Oryctolagus cuniculus: one gene and its partners. Each later gene encodes a partner of the first gene's protein in a complex. Links are inferred from orthologs where the notes say so. Each region holds a gene or a part of one and is shown in the gene's direction. Other genes may lie near its edges.

Region 1 (4,020 bases):
AGCGCAGTGTCAGGTGCGGGCAGCAGCTCAAATCCAGGAATGGTGGTCAAGGGGAGGCCCGTCTGCAGGGGCCAGTAGCAGTCTACCCAGCAAAAAAGTAAAGAAGGAAAGAAGGAAGGAAGAAAGGTAAAAAGAAAAACTCCTTTCTGCCAAATCAAGATTTCCCTATGACCCGTGAACCAAAACCATCGCTGCCACCCTCACTCTCATTCTATCCACGGTAATCATCAAAAGGCCCGACCGTAGCTCTGGGTGGAAGCTGTGAATAACTGGCGCAAAACCAGGAGATTAAAGACCTCGCCAACGCCCAGAAGATGTTCCTACTGCATTGGACCTAAGTCAGTTATGCTATCGGAATTCCAGTTTACTCTGTGAGGAGATTCGGGTGTAACCGAGACGGACTTAAATGGAACATACAGATGAGATTTATTTTTGTAGCTGGCAGGCTTGGATGCATGCCGACCCCTCATCGCCGCCAGCTGCTCGGGCCTGCCTTTCAGGACTCCGGACCGCCCGCTCCCACAGCCGCCGCCTGCTTGCCCGGACAATTCGGGCCCGCAGGCGCTTCCTGGGGACGTCCCCGCTCGCCCCCAGCCCTCCAGGCTGCGAGAGCGCCGGGCCAGCAGCAAGAGCCCTGCAGGCCACCCGAGCGTCCAAGGCCGCCTGAGCGCGCTCCGCGTCTCTACGCTGCCGCCAGGGGCGGGAGCCGAGCCGCCCCGCCAGGCCGGACCGGGGGCGCGGGGCGCCTCCACAAGTGCGGGCTTTCCCCACCCCCGGCGGCGACCCCACCTCCCGCCCCCGCGGCGTGCGCGCCTGTGTCCGTCTGTCGGTCTTCTCTCTCGACGTCAGTGGGAATTTCCAGCCAGGAAGTGAGAGAGTGAGCGAGAGAGCAAGAGAGAGAAGTGCACCAGCGAGCCGGGCAGGAAGAGGAGGTTTCGCCACCGGAGCGGCCCGGCGACGCGCTGACAGCTTCCCCTGCCTTTCCCGTCGGTCGGGCCTCCAGCCGCCGCCACCGCCACCGCCGCCCTTGGCCTGAACGCCGCCTGCCTCCCCGTGCCCACAGACCGGCGCAGCCCAGGCCGGAGCCGCCGGGCCAGGAAGGCGGTGCAGCGCCGCCCGGCTGCCGAGCGCCCCGCGCTTGCCTCCGCCCGCGCTGCGGACATGGCGCGGCGCTGACGGGCCCGGCCCGGTCCGACCGCGCGCCTGCTCCCGCGCTCCGACCCGCACCCGGGCCCGCTCGGGCGCCGGCTCCAGCCGGCTGCTGCCTCTTCCTTCGCCAGCGCGCAGGCCCGCGCCGCCCCGGAGGGCAGCCCCTAGGCGCCGGGAGGCCGCGCGCGGACCCGCCACCAGGGTAAGCCAAACTCGGGCAAGTGGGGGCCTCGCTGGGGACTGGGGGCCGCGTCCCGCCGCCCACCCGGCCCGCAGCCCCGGTACGCCCCCTTGGCCTTCCTCATTCCTGCGCTAACCGCTGGGCCAGACCGTGGGAGGAGGTTGACAGTAGTTGAGAGGCACATGGGCTTTGGCGACTGGGGGGAAGGCACATCCGGACTGCGCGGGGCTGTGCGGCCGAAGGGCCGCGGCCGCCGGAACCCTCCAGTCTCCTGAGCCCCGCTGCCCGGCGAGCACGGGTACCAGAAGCGACTCTTGGAAACTTTTTTTTTAATCCACACCCCTTGTCTCTGTCTGGGGGTGTCTGGAGGTTTGGGGTACGCTGCGGCGCGGAGGAGATCGGGGAAGGTGGTTGGTGCAGTGCAGAACCAGATTTCACCTAAGGGCGTTCCATGAAATGAAAGCAGAAGTGCTTGTCAGTTCTCTAGGTTGGAAAAGCCCTCCCCAGCTTCCCAGAATTAAACAGGAGAGCCTATTCCTCCCTATTGGACTTCTGAAAGAGAGAAGCCCTCGCTTCCCACAAGTGCCCGGCGTGTGTACATACATACGCACACTCACACACACAGCGACAGGGCCTAATCTGTTCACCTGCTGTTGGACCTGCGCATTAGTTTTCAAAAAATGGGGGCCTGGTACTCATCCTCCAGGGCCTGGCGTTAGAGAAAGATGAGAAATCACACTTAGAGCACTTTTCACTGGATTATGTAAAGCTCTGGACAGTGGCATCGTGCATTGTGCCTAACCTCGAAAACCAAACTCATGATATAAACCAAGACTATTCTAAAGATAAGTTTTCTTATGAGCTTTTAAAATAGACTCTGATGGACGTGTTTAATTTGGCCTATCCTGCAACTTAACTGGTACTTAATGATTTAGGATTTAGTTATCAAGACTGAGGACAATTTCTGATCTTTTAACTAGAGGTTTTCAGCATTGCAGCTTATGAAATAACATTGTTTAACTCCAAGGTTTTCTTATAAAGCTTATAATCTGAGAAAAATGTTATGGTATTGCTAAAATATTTAATAGTTCTAGCATCAGAATGTTTTTCTACAAACTGAAGATCTTTGGTAAATACTAATACTTGAAAACAAAATTATCAATAATTATTTTTCTAGCAGGATTCCTCAACTGAATATTCTTGAATAGTTTTAACTGTATTAGTGTGTGCTGGAACTTTAAGAAGGAAACTTAATTAAAATAAAACCCTTAGCTGAAGTATGTTGTTTTCTTGATTTTAATATTGTGCTTTCTAGAGATGAATCCTTCTATTGTTTTATGTACTAAAGAAATTAGGTAAATAAAGTGAAATGCTTTTTGAGCTGATGAGCTCAGGAAGATAGGAAATCAAAAGAGGTGTGTTTCTTTTGGCATTTTACATTTATCATGGAATTGAATTCCTAAAATGAAGGGTGTGTATATGTGTATGAAATGGAAACAGGAAATCTCATAAAACTGTTCATCCATATTGATATACCTGCAACTCCTCAATGCCTTCCTTCACTTGTTTAGGTAAAATGTCTTCTTGGGCAGCCTAGTAGGCCAACTTGAACACAGAAGACTCATTGTATGTAGGTTTTAATGCTGGAAATTAACTGCTGCTTGTTGTGGAAAGTGTACCACTTTTAAACTACTTGAAGAACATATTTAAGAAAACAGTATAATCCTATTAGGAGTTGGTGGTGATTTGCAAATCTGTTATCCTAGTTTTGAAATTGCAGTTTTATCTTCTGTGCTACAGTTGGCCCTCACGTGGGCTGAGTAGATGCTCCTGTTTTTCAAACTCAGTAAAATGAGGAGTATACCCATAAAAATGGTCTTGTTCCCCTTTGTGAGCACTCCTTTGATCTTTGCACTTCCTTTTACTCCTACCACTTAAACAATATCATTTGTGATGACTGAGTTGGAGTTGGTTAAAGCTCAGTTATTCTGAAATAGGCAGGTTTATAGATCTACTGATCATAGTCCTTGCATTTCTCTTATCATTGTTCCTTGAAACAAATTGAAACTAGATTGAGTAACTAATATTTATGCAGGTTGTTTTTGCTACTGTTTTTAGAGTTCCAGGTAGTGGATGAAGTAAGTTACTGCCCTGACTTTGAGGGATTGCCCATTGTGTTAGATAGGAAATTTAGATAAACAGTTGGCAGCTTACATGGATCTTGGACAATGATTCAATCAGCAAACCCTTATTTTTACCTAATTGAAGTGAGATATTCCCCTGTTCAGAAGAGGCGAAAGTTCTGGCTTCTGGGGGGAAGTGGTTACTTCCTAACCTTCAATTAGTTTGAACTCAAAGAGTAGAAAAGTAGTTCACAGTTTAAAACCATAAGTTAAAGTAATTCTATCTGTGTTGTTATACAGATTTTTGATGAGTGCTCAAAATATCTTACCTTCAGAACATACTAGTAGATGTGCTTTTCAAGGAGGTGACTGCTGTAGGAAGTTAGATCTGCAAGAGTCGAGAGAGCAGTTTAACAGTGAGTAAATATTCAAATTACGCTCTTCTGTCTACAGATTGAGCAGGATTCACATTCATATGGGCACATATGAATCAACAGCTGTGCAAATTTCTCCTTGATTTGTCTTTTAGTGGGACGGTTGTTTTGTATAGGTGGTTAATTGGCTTTC
Region 2 (4,304 bases), on another chromosome or scaffold:
ATTTGTATTTTAAGATCTGTATTTAATTTACATACAATGTGATTTCCGGACACAGCTTGTTTGCCATAGCCATAGCCCAGCTCAAAGTATAGACTCCTAAGGTTTTTAAAGGTATTGCTCTGCTTCTAAGAATTTACCCCCTCCTCCACCTTACAACATCTTCAAGCAGCTCCTACAGTATTCTAGCTCTCCTCATTTCCCCCTCTCTGAAAGGGAACTCGGTCGTTTGGTACTCGTTAAATCCACAGATTTCCCTCAGCACCCTAGCTCCCGCCTTTAAATTTTTCCTCCTTTGACTTTATAAAGTGTTTACTTAAGGAACATTTGCATCTCAACATTTATTTCTGCATGCTGTTCTACTTAATATATTAGAAAGGACCAAGAGTCAAAGTTCCCAAAGGAGTCGGTAGCACAGTTTCTTCCCCTATCTTACCAGATTTAAACAAAGCCAATGCCTTTATCCCTTGCTTTCCACCCGGTTTGTTGCTGTTTCTCATCCCTGCACATTTGAGGGGCTATTAGTTGGTATTTAAATACATTTAAAAACCAATTCTTCGTCTTCTTATTTTGAAATTTTTGAATACGTTCTTCTGTGTCTTGCGTTATTCTGCCTCTGATAACGATGTTCCCAGTACAGAAAGTATCCCGGGAGTTTACTCCCTTCAAACGAGTTACAATATTACAGTTCTGCGGCAGGTGCCATGGTTCACGCCCTCCAGAAGCTAATACTTCGCCGCCAAGTAGATGCTTTAACTTTGTCAAGACGAAACACCTAGGAAGTGGTATCGTCACTGGATCTGCTCTACCCAATTTCCTACCTGTTGCGGGCCCTTGCTCGGAGAGGACGAACTAGATTGGTCTAATGGGCCCCTCTCCTTTTCCACCCACTGCCCCTCTCGGCCTTCCGCAGCTGCCTGGAGAACCCCAGCCAGTCCTGGCCCCAAGGAGCGACCCTCGGACGCCCGCAACCCCTCGCCGGAGAACTAAAGTCAGGGCTGACGCACGAGCCGCGATGGAACAGAGTCGTGGCTCGGTTCCTGGTAAGGCGAGCGGAGCGCGCAAGGAATGCCTTGGAAGGCAGGGTGCGCGGGACGTGGACAGAACGCCACTTTAACTCGGCTTCCTCCCTGGACGCCAGAGGTCCGGAGCTGCCCTGACAACCGGAGCAAACCAATTCGTCTGCGCGGCGGTCCCGGGTTCCTCTTCCCCGCCTCCCCGCAAGTCTACTTCTCTTTCGCTTCCTCCCCCTGCTCTCCAGCTGCACGTGGTCCCTCCCTGCCCTGCCCCCGCCGCGCCCCTCCTTACCCCTCCCCTCCGAACCCTCCCAGCCCCCGGCCCTTTCCTCCCTGCGTTCCTCGCTTCCCCTTTCCGTTCGCTCTTTCCGCCCCCGCTCCCCATCCACCCTTCCGATTGGTCGAGCGCGCCGGAGCCTGGTCGGCCAATCGGCGAGCACGGTTGGCGGCGATGGGCGTGGCTGCGGCGCCGGGGCCCTCAGATCGAGGCTGCCTCCCCCTCTCAGCCGGCAGCACATTCCGCCGCCGTTGCCGCCGCCCGGCCCCGCAGTTGTCTTCGCCGGAGCTGCCGTCGCGCTGGGGTTAGGGCGGGGGGGCGGGCGGGGAGAGGAGGAGAAGGCCGCGGCCGAGGCAGGTGAGAGGAGGAAGGAAGCGGCGGCCGGGCGGGCAGAGCAGCTCAGGCGGCGGCCCGGTTCCTGGGAGTGTCGGTGCGGCGCGGTGGTTGGGGCGGATCCCGCGGGGCCCGGGCGGGGGAAGGAGTCACCGGCCCGGCCATGGCGGACAACGAGAAACTGGACAACCAACGGCTCAAGAATTTCAAGAACAAAGGCCGCGACTTGGAGGTAAACTCGGAGGCGCTGGAGGGGTGGGAGCCGTGGGCCTGCGGTCGGTGCCCGCCGGGACTCAGAGTGGGGAGCAGGGGCGGGAGCCGCCGCCGCCGCCGCGGGGCCGCGGGGGAATGGCGCTGGGGGCCGGCCCGCCCGTGACGCCTCTGCTACCGCGCCGGGAAGTTTGTGTCGGGCCTGCTCCGCCTCCGCCGGGGAGCGAGGTGCCGGGCCACGGCCGGCGCGGCCTAGGCCTGCCCCGCAGAGCCGGGCCGGCGCGGGTGCGAGGGCTGGGCCGCGCGGCGTGTGTGGAAGCGGCGCGCGCGTGCGGCCGGCGCTCCCCGGCCCGGCCCCCTCCCCGGCCGCGGCGGCCAGGCCGGCTCTCGCCCCGGCACCGACGTCTGGCGCCGCGGGAAAGGAGGGCGGCGGGGGGCGGGGGCGAGCGTGTGGCGACCGAGTGGGGCTCGGAACTTCCTCGGCGGGGCCCGAGACGTCTCCACTTAAAGGCGTTTTCTCTGGTCTTCCCGACTCCCGCTTTACCCCTGCCTCCCCCCGATGTCCAAACTACAGGAGTCAACTTCTCCGTTGAAAAAAACACCCCCGGCGTGAGAGGCCATCCTGGTGATGCTAACAGTGCCTTCCAGCGGCCTGTGTTTTTACTCTGGATATAGCTGTTTCAAGATGTGGCTCACGATGTGCCCTCTTCCAGGCAGAGGATACCCCTTATTTCAGCTTGTCCACAAATCTCTTTATCCCCTCCTGAGAGGAGACCACCAGCTGCATTCTTACATAGAAAGTCCAAAGGGTTATACAAAGCTGTCATCCTCTAGTCTACAGTATCCTTTCCCTCCACCTGCTGGTGGTGGTGGTGGGGGATGGGGTGGGCTATGGAATGGCACCATCACATTTTATTATTTAAAAGGGGGAAAAAAGCTTCATTGTCTTAGATACAGCTGCTCCCGAGGTTCTCGGTCTGTGTAAGGTGTGTGTATGCACACAGTCAGATTTCTGATACAAGACTATCTTCCCTTCAGCTTTGAGAGTTCAAGTAAATAGGTTTTTGTTGTTTTTAAATCTTCTACATCTGAATCAAGAGTTCAGCTTTTAAGGGAAAAAGTGGTCAAGTATTTTTTTATGTTATCCCTCTCTGCATTTTTATAGTGAGATGTTCAAATTCCCCTGGCCTTTTTCTGAACTGGAGCATTTGCTTGACTATTAACTTACTTTGGGGGCTTTTCACAAAGCCATTCAGATCTCTGAGGTAGTTTGTGCTGTTTTAGTGGGTTGCATAGTTTGAGAGACTATGTATTGGAGTTGTGGCCATTAATTCTATGATTGCTTTTTGGTTAACATGAGATATAATCCTTATGATCCCTTTTTCTAATGAAAAATTTAACATCTTTATTGAGATAATTCACATGCCATAAAAATCAACCTTCTAAATGTACAGTATTATTTTCAGTAAATTAATTTGTGCCAATAAAGTAACAGGTTTTTTTTTTTAACTAATATCTATTTAGAATGAAGAAATTGCAAATTACAAAATTTAAAAACTGATGAATACCAGTAACAAAGTCCAGAAAAAAATAGCCCTTTCTTCTCTACATTTCTGCCTGCGTTGAGTTATAAATCACATACCATATAATCCACCCATTAAAAGTGGCTTTTGAGCATATTCACATAGTTGTGCAACCATTACCGGGATCACTCTTAGAATATTTTCACTTACCTCAAAAAAGAAACTGGTGCTCATTAGCAGTCACTCTTCGTTTTTCAACTACCCCAGCCCCAGGCAACCACTTTGTCTCTTTAGATGTGCCTGTTCTGGGCATTTCATTTACACAATTTGTGAGCTTTTGTGACTGGCTTCTTTCAGGTAGTATATTTTCAAGGTTCATATATATTGTGACAAGAATGTATCAGTGTTTCCAGTCCTTCTTATGGCTGAATGATATTCCAGCATATGGATGTACTGCATTTTGTTTATCCATTCATAAGTTGATGGACATTTGTGTTTCCACTTTTTAGGTATATATGAATATGTAATTCTGTGAACATTCATGTACATTTGTATGGGTGTCATTTCATGTCTCTTGGTCATGTATCTACGGGTGGAATTTACTAGGTCATATGGAAAACTTAAAAAAAAATTGGGGATTGCCAGATTATTTTTCTAAAGTTATCCTCATTTTAAAGATTGCTATTTCCCCTTGCTGCTTGTCACTAAGTATCTACACATCAAACAGGACTTGTTTCTGTTTTGAGAAGTTTGAGGTGTCTTGCTGGCATCCTCAGCTGACTTTGATACCCCTATATGTCATTAGAAATAGAAATATTTTCATTTCACACTTAACAAAATGAAATATACTATAACAGAGGCCATACTTTTTCTTCAGTGTGACTTACTCAGAGTAACTCATAATGAGATAGAAATGTCTTTTATTACCCTTAAAGAACATTAATGATG
Region 3 (3,950 bases), on another chromosome or scaffold:
TGTTCCATATGGGGGGAACAGGTGGAGATCCGAGGAGAGGCAAGGGTTGCTTTGTACCTGATCAGTAAGGCGAAGGTGATTGCCACAACCTCCAGAAACCTCTGCAGAGGCCCCTGGAGCTCATGCTCAAAGCCGATCAAAGCCGATTTGATTACCTGCACCAATTCCAGAAGTAGTTGAATTCAGCCCAGTCTGCCGCTTCGGGGGCCGGAGCATAACCTCTCTAAAGCCAGGGGATTCTCTCAAGAGTGGCACTGCAGGAATGGCTCCAGCTACTGCCCTCTCCCAGAGCACACGGGGGAGCCGCCTGGAACCTCCCGCGGGGGGCCTGGCAGTTACTCTTGGCCATCTTTCAGGCCCAATCCTGGGTAAGACACTAACTGCCACCCATTGGTCAGGCTCCTCCCAATGCTGAAAAATTGCTCAGCTGGGCACTCAGAAATAGGCTCAGGATCCATTTCCTGCAGCACAGACCATGAACTTCGTTACTGCAAGGTTACCTGCAACCCCTCCCACCAAGACGAACTCCTTGCTTAACAAAAAGCAAACCCTTGAGGCCCCACTGAGCGCTGACCCCTCGCAGGGCGAGATCTGTCCCTCCCCCAGCCGACAGGCCTGTTAGTCCCCAGGACGGGACTTGGTTTAAAACCCAGCTTCTCCCCGAGGGGGTCGGGACGCCAGGAGCGCTTGCACCCTACAGGGCCGGGAATCTGCGGGAACCCAGGGGCCGCCCGCGAACTGCACCCAACTCTGGGGAAGACAAACCCCCACGGCCAGCCACCGTTTCCACTCTTGCGCTTCCGCAAGATCCGAGAAAACGGAAAGGACCGGCTGGGCGGCAAACCCCAAAGAGGAACGGCCCGGCAGGTCTGTGTCCTCGGGATCCCTGCAGCAGACGACCCCGAGTGCAATCGGCCGTGGGAAACCCCAGGGAGAGAGGAGGGCCCTGCAGGGTCGGCCTGGCCGCGCGCGGTCCGCAGGGAAGCACCGGGGCGGCGGCGGCCGCCGGGCCCGGAGGACTTTCCAGCCACTCAGCGCGCAGCGAGAAGTTCCCTGGACATGACCCCGGTGGGTCATCCCAGGGAGTTTCTCCGATGAACCCCGGCTCGGAGTTTAGGCTGCCTTTTTTTTTCCCCTAGCAGAGGACCAAGCCAGTTCTCTTTTCTGGTCTGACTGGCTTGGAAATTCCCCGCGCCTGACCCCGCCCCCAGAGAAATTCCCCGCCAGCGTTTATAGGGCGGCGCGGCGGCGCTGCCGAGCCCACAACAGTCGCAGCGCGCCGCCCGCCAGGAGCCGGCGACAGGACGAGGACGCCAGCGCGCAGCCCGCGGCCGAGCACCTGGGGAGCAGCGCCATGTTTCAGCCGGCCGAGCACGCTCAGGACTGGGCCATGGAGGGGCCCCGGGACGCGCTGAAGAAGGAGCGCCTGCTGGACGACCGCCACGACAGCGGCCTGGACTCCATGAAGGACGAGGAGTACGAGCAGATGGTGAAGGAGCTGCGCGAGATCCGCCTGGAGCCGCAGGAGGCGCCGCGCGCCGCCGAGCCCTGGAGGCAGCAGCTCACGGAGGACGGAGACTCGTAAGTGTCGGGGGGCTGAGGGCCGCGGGCCGGGCGGGGGGCGGCCGGGCCTGCAGCGCGGGCCCCGGGGCTGCAGCACAGCCGGGCTGGAGGGGGGGGATGGCCGTGCAGCGCCGCCGAGTCTGCCGCAAAGCTGCGGGGCGGCCGCGCGCGGGCCGGGGCTCCTCTGGGGGCTCCTCGGGCCGGCGGGGAAGGGCGTGGACGGCCCCGTCCCCGCACACCCCGAACCCCGCAGCCCGGCGCTCGCGGCGGGGGGCGGCGCGGCGGCAGGGACGCCGAGTCCCGGGTTGCATAAGGCGGGCGGGCGGGCGGGCGCCGCGCGGCCGGCGGGGGAAGTACAGGGCGTTCCGGGCCGCCGGGAGGGCGGGGCGGCCTGGCCGGCGCCGCCGCGGGGGGGGCGGGGCCCGGAAAGTCCCTGGGCGCCTGCCAGGAACACTCAGCTCATAATAACCCCGCGGAAAACACCGCGGCCCCGGCTCCAGAAACCCCGGCCTTGCGCAATCCCCCGCAGGCCGCGCCTCCCCGGGGCCCCACGCAGTGCGCTCACCGCCCCTTGCGGGGGGTTTTCCCCTCTCTGGCCTGCAGGTTCCTCCACTTGGCCATCATCCATGAAGAGAAGGCATTGACCATGGAAGTGATTCGCCAGGTGAAGGGAGACCTGGCCTTCCTCAACTTCCAGAACAACCTGCAGCAGGTGCGCCTGTCGTCCCCAGCCCTGTGCCCTCTGTGACCTCGGGATGCAGTCGATGTGGCACAGTCCTCCCCACCCCTAGCTCTCTGAAAGAACAGCCACAGGTCCTTACCTGCCCTGGCCTTTCACATTCCAATAAGCCGGTCTCCTGCAGAGTTAAAAGCCCACGGATTGGGTGAGGTCTTTGCGACCCACCCGGGGCCCTGGTCTTTGGCCCCCTGTCCCTGTCTGGGAGGAGCAGCACCCACCCCCGGGAGATGTCTGCGGCTCAGGGGCACTCGGAGGACGACTTTGCGCCGAGGCTTATCTGTGCTCGCTCTCCCACTCGTAGACGCCGCTCCACTTGGCTGTCATCACTAGCCAGCCAGAAATTGCTGAGGCACTGCTGGAAGCTGGCTGTGATCCTGAGCTGCGGGACTTTCGAGGAAACACTCCGCTGCACCTTGCCTGCGAGCAGGGCTGCCTGGCCAGCGTGGGCGTCCTCAAGCAGACCTGCACGGCCCAGCACCTGCACTCCATTCTGCAGGCCATCAACTACAACGGTACGCTGTGCTGTCCCAGGCGGGCGGCGCGGGGGAGGCGGGCTGGCCTAAGGCGTGCAGGGCAGAGCTTAAACTCCCAGCTTGTGAAAGCAGGAGGAAATGAGTATCAAGCGCCTGTCTCAGGCTGCTGGAATGTTCATTCAGAACCCAGATTCGGGCTCCTTAGAATTCAGGGGCCACATGTGCTTGTCCCATGAGTGACTAGGGGGACGGTGAAACAGGTGGTGATGCTCTCTTCCTTCTGTCCGTCTAGGCCACACGTGTCTGCACCTGGCTTCCATCCACGGCTACCTGGGCATTGTGGAGCTGTTGGTGTCCTGGGGTGCTGATGTCAACGCCCAGGTGAGTGCCTCACGAGCCAGGTGGAGTGCTGCTCTTTGCCAGCAACATGTCAGCCACACTGGCTGCACGCAGGAATGCCAGACGCCTCCTAAGCATCTCACACTCCTCTTGGCTCTAGGAACCCTGCAATGGGCGCACGGCCCTCCACCTCGCCGTGGACCTGCAGAATCCGGACCTGGTGTCGCTCTTGTTGAAGTGCGGGGCCGATGTCAACCGGGTCACCTACCAGGGCTACTCCCCGTACCAACTCACATGGGGCCGCCCCAGCACCCGGATCCAGCAGCAGCTGGGCCAGCTGACCTTGGAGAACCTCCAGAGGTTGCCCGAGAGTGAGGACGAGGAGAGCTGTGACACGGAGTCGGACGGCACGGAGGACGAGGTGAGCCCCATCCCCTACCCTGCCAGGCCCCTTCCCTTGAGCAGCCCTGGGATATTGGATAGAGCTCTCCGACTGTATAGAACCCCCCCCCCCCAATAAAAATAAAAGTAGCTTACCCTTCTTTAAGCAGCAAATCCTTCAAGGGAAATGCACTCAGCCTGTCAAGTTCATTGCACGGCGGGTGGGGGGATCGGAGCTGCAGTCGCAGCCAGGGCCCTGGCCTGCGGCCTGCAGCCCCGGGCTGGGCCTTGGAGGTTTACTCTCCTCTTCTTCTTCCAGCTGCCCTATGATGACTGCGTGTTCGGAGGCCAGCGCCTGACCTTGTGAGCACCAGGCGCCTGGAAAGCACGTGGACTTGTATATTTGTACAAAAAGAGAGTTTTATTTTTCTAAAAAAAAAAAAAGGAAAAAGGAA

Evidence for each region. The genes of interacting proteins can lie anywhere in the genome.
Region 2: the proteins of NFKB1 (region 1) and KPNA4 are in contact, whole or in part, in a crystal structure (PDB 7LFC), measured with the Homo sapiens proteins. The link is inferred for Oryctolagus cuniculus from reciprocal best matches to the Homo sapiens genes NFKB1 and KPNA4. Residues at the interface, in NP_001158884.1 of Homo sapiens: Glu357, Glu358, Val359, Gln360, Arg361, Lys362, Arg363, Gln364, Lys365, Leu366, Met367; in NP_002259.1 of Homo sapiens: Arg96, Lys97, Leu99, Ser100, Ser101, Asp102, Arg103, Pro105, Phe133, Trp137, Thr140, Asn141, Ala143, Ser144, Gly145, Thr146, Ser147, Thr150, Gln176, Trp179, Gly182, Asn183, Gly186, Asp187, Asn219, Trp222, Val225, Asn226, Arg229, His230.
Region 3: the proteins of NFKB1 (region 1) and NFKBIA are in contact, whole or in part, in a crystal structure (PDB 1NFI), measured with the Homo sapiens proteins. The link is inferred for Oryctolagus cuniculus from reciprocal best matches to the Homo sapiens genes NFKB1 and NFKBIA. Residues at the interface, in NP_001158884.1 of Homo sapiens: Lys251, Ile252, Val253, Arg254, Met255, Asp256, Arg257, Thr258, Ala259, Pro326, Lys345, Leu348, Tyr350, Ile353; in NP_065390.1 of Homo sapiens: Asn108, Asn109, Leu110, Gln111, Arg140, Tyr181, Pro214, Cys215, Asn216, Arg218, Tyr248, Gln249.

The regions. Positions count from the first base shown.
Region 1 is NC_091439.1:62,714,505-62,718,524, reverse strand, and holds the start of NFKB1 (nuclear factor NF-kappa-B p105 subunit), read left to right. Parts: upstream 1-1,216; 5' UTR 1,217-1,351; intron 1,352-4,020.
Region 2 is NC_091435.1:120,182,788-120,187,091, forward strand, and holds the start of KPNA4 (importin subunit alpha-3), read left to right. Parts: upstream 1-1,501; 5' UTR 1,502-1,786; coding exon of another isoform or gene 1,787-1,855; intron 1,856-2,407; 5' UTR 2,408-4,304. UniProt on the Homo sapiens protein: Functions in nuclear protein import as an adapter protein for nuclear receptor KPNB1. Binds specifically and directly to substrates containing either a simple or bipartite NLS motif.
Region 3 is NC_091443.1:40,158,563-40,162,512, forward strand, and holds the start of NFKBIA (NF-kappa-B inhibitor alpha), read left to right. Parts: upstream 1-1,147; 5' UTR 1,148-1,354; coding exon 1,355-1,581; intron 1,582-2,166; coding exon 2,167-2,275; intron 2,276-2,603; coding exon 2,604-2,814; intron 2,815-3,067; coding exon 3,068-3,156; intron 3,157-3,274; coding exon 3,275-3,535; intron 3,536-3,651; exon of another isoform or gene 3,652-3,814; coding exon 3,815-3,862; 3' UTR 3,863-3,950. UniProt on the Homo sapiens protein: Inhibits the activity of dimeric NF-kappa-B/REL complexes by trapping REL (RELA/p65 and NFKB1/p50) dimers in the cytoplasm by masking their nuclear localization signals.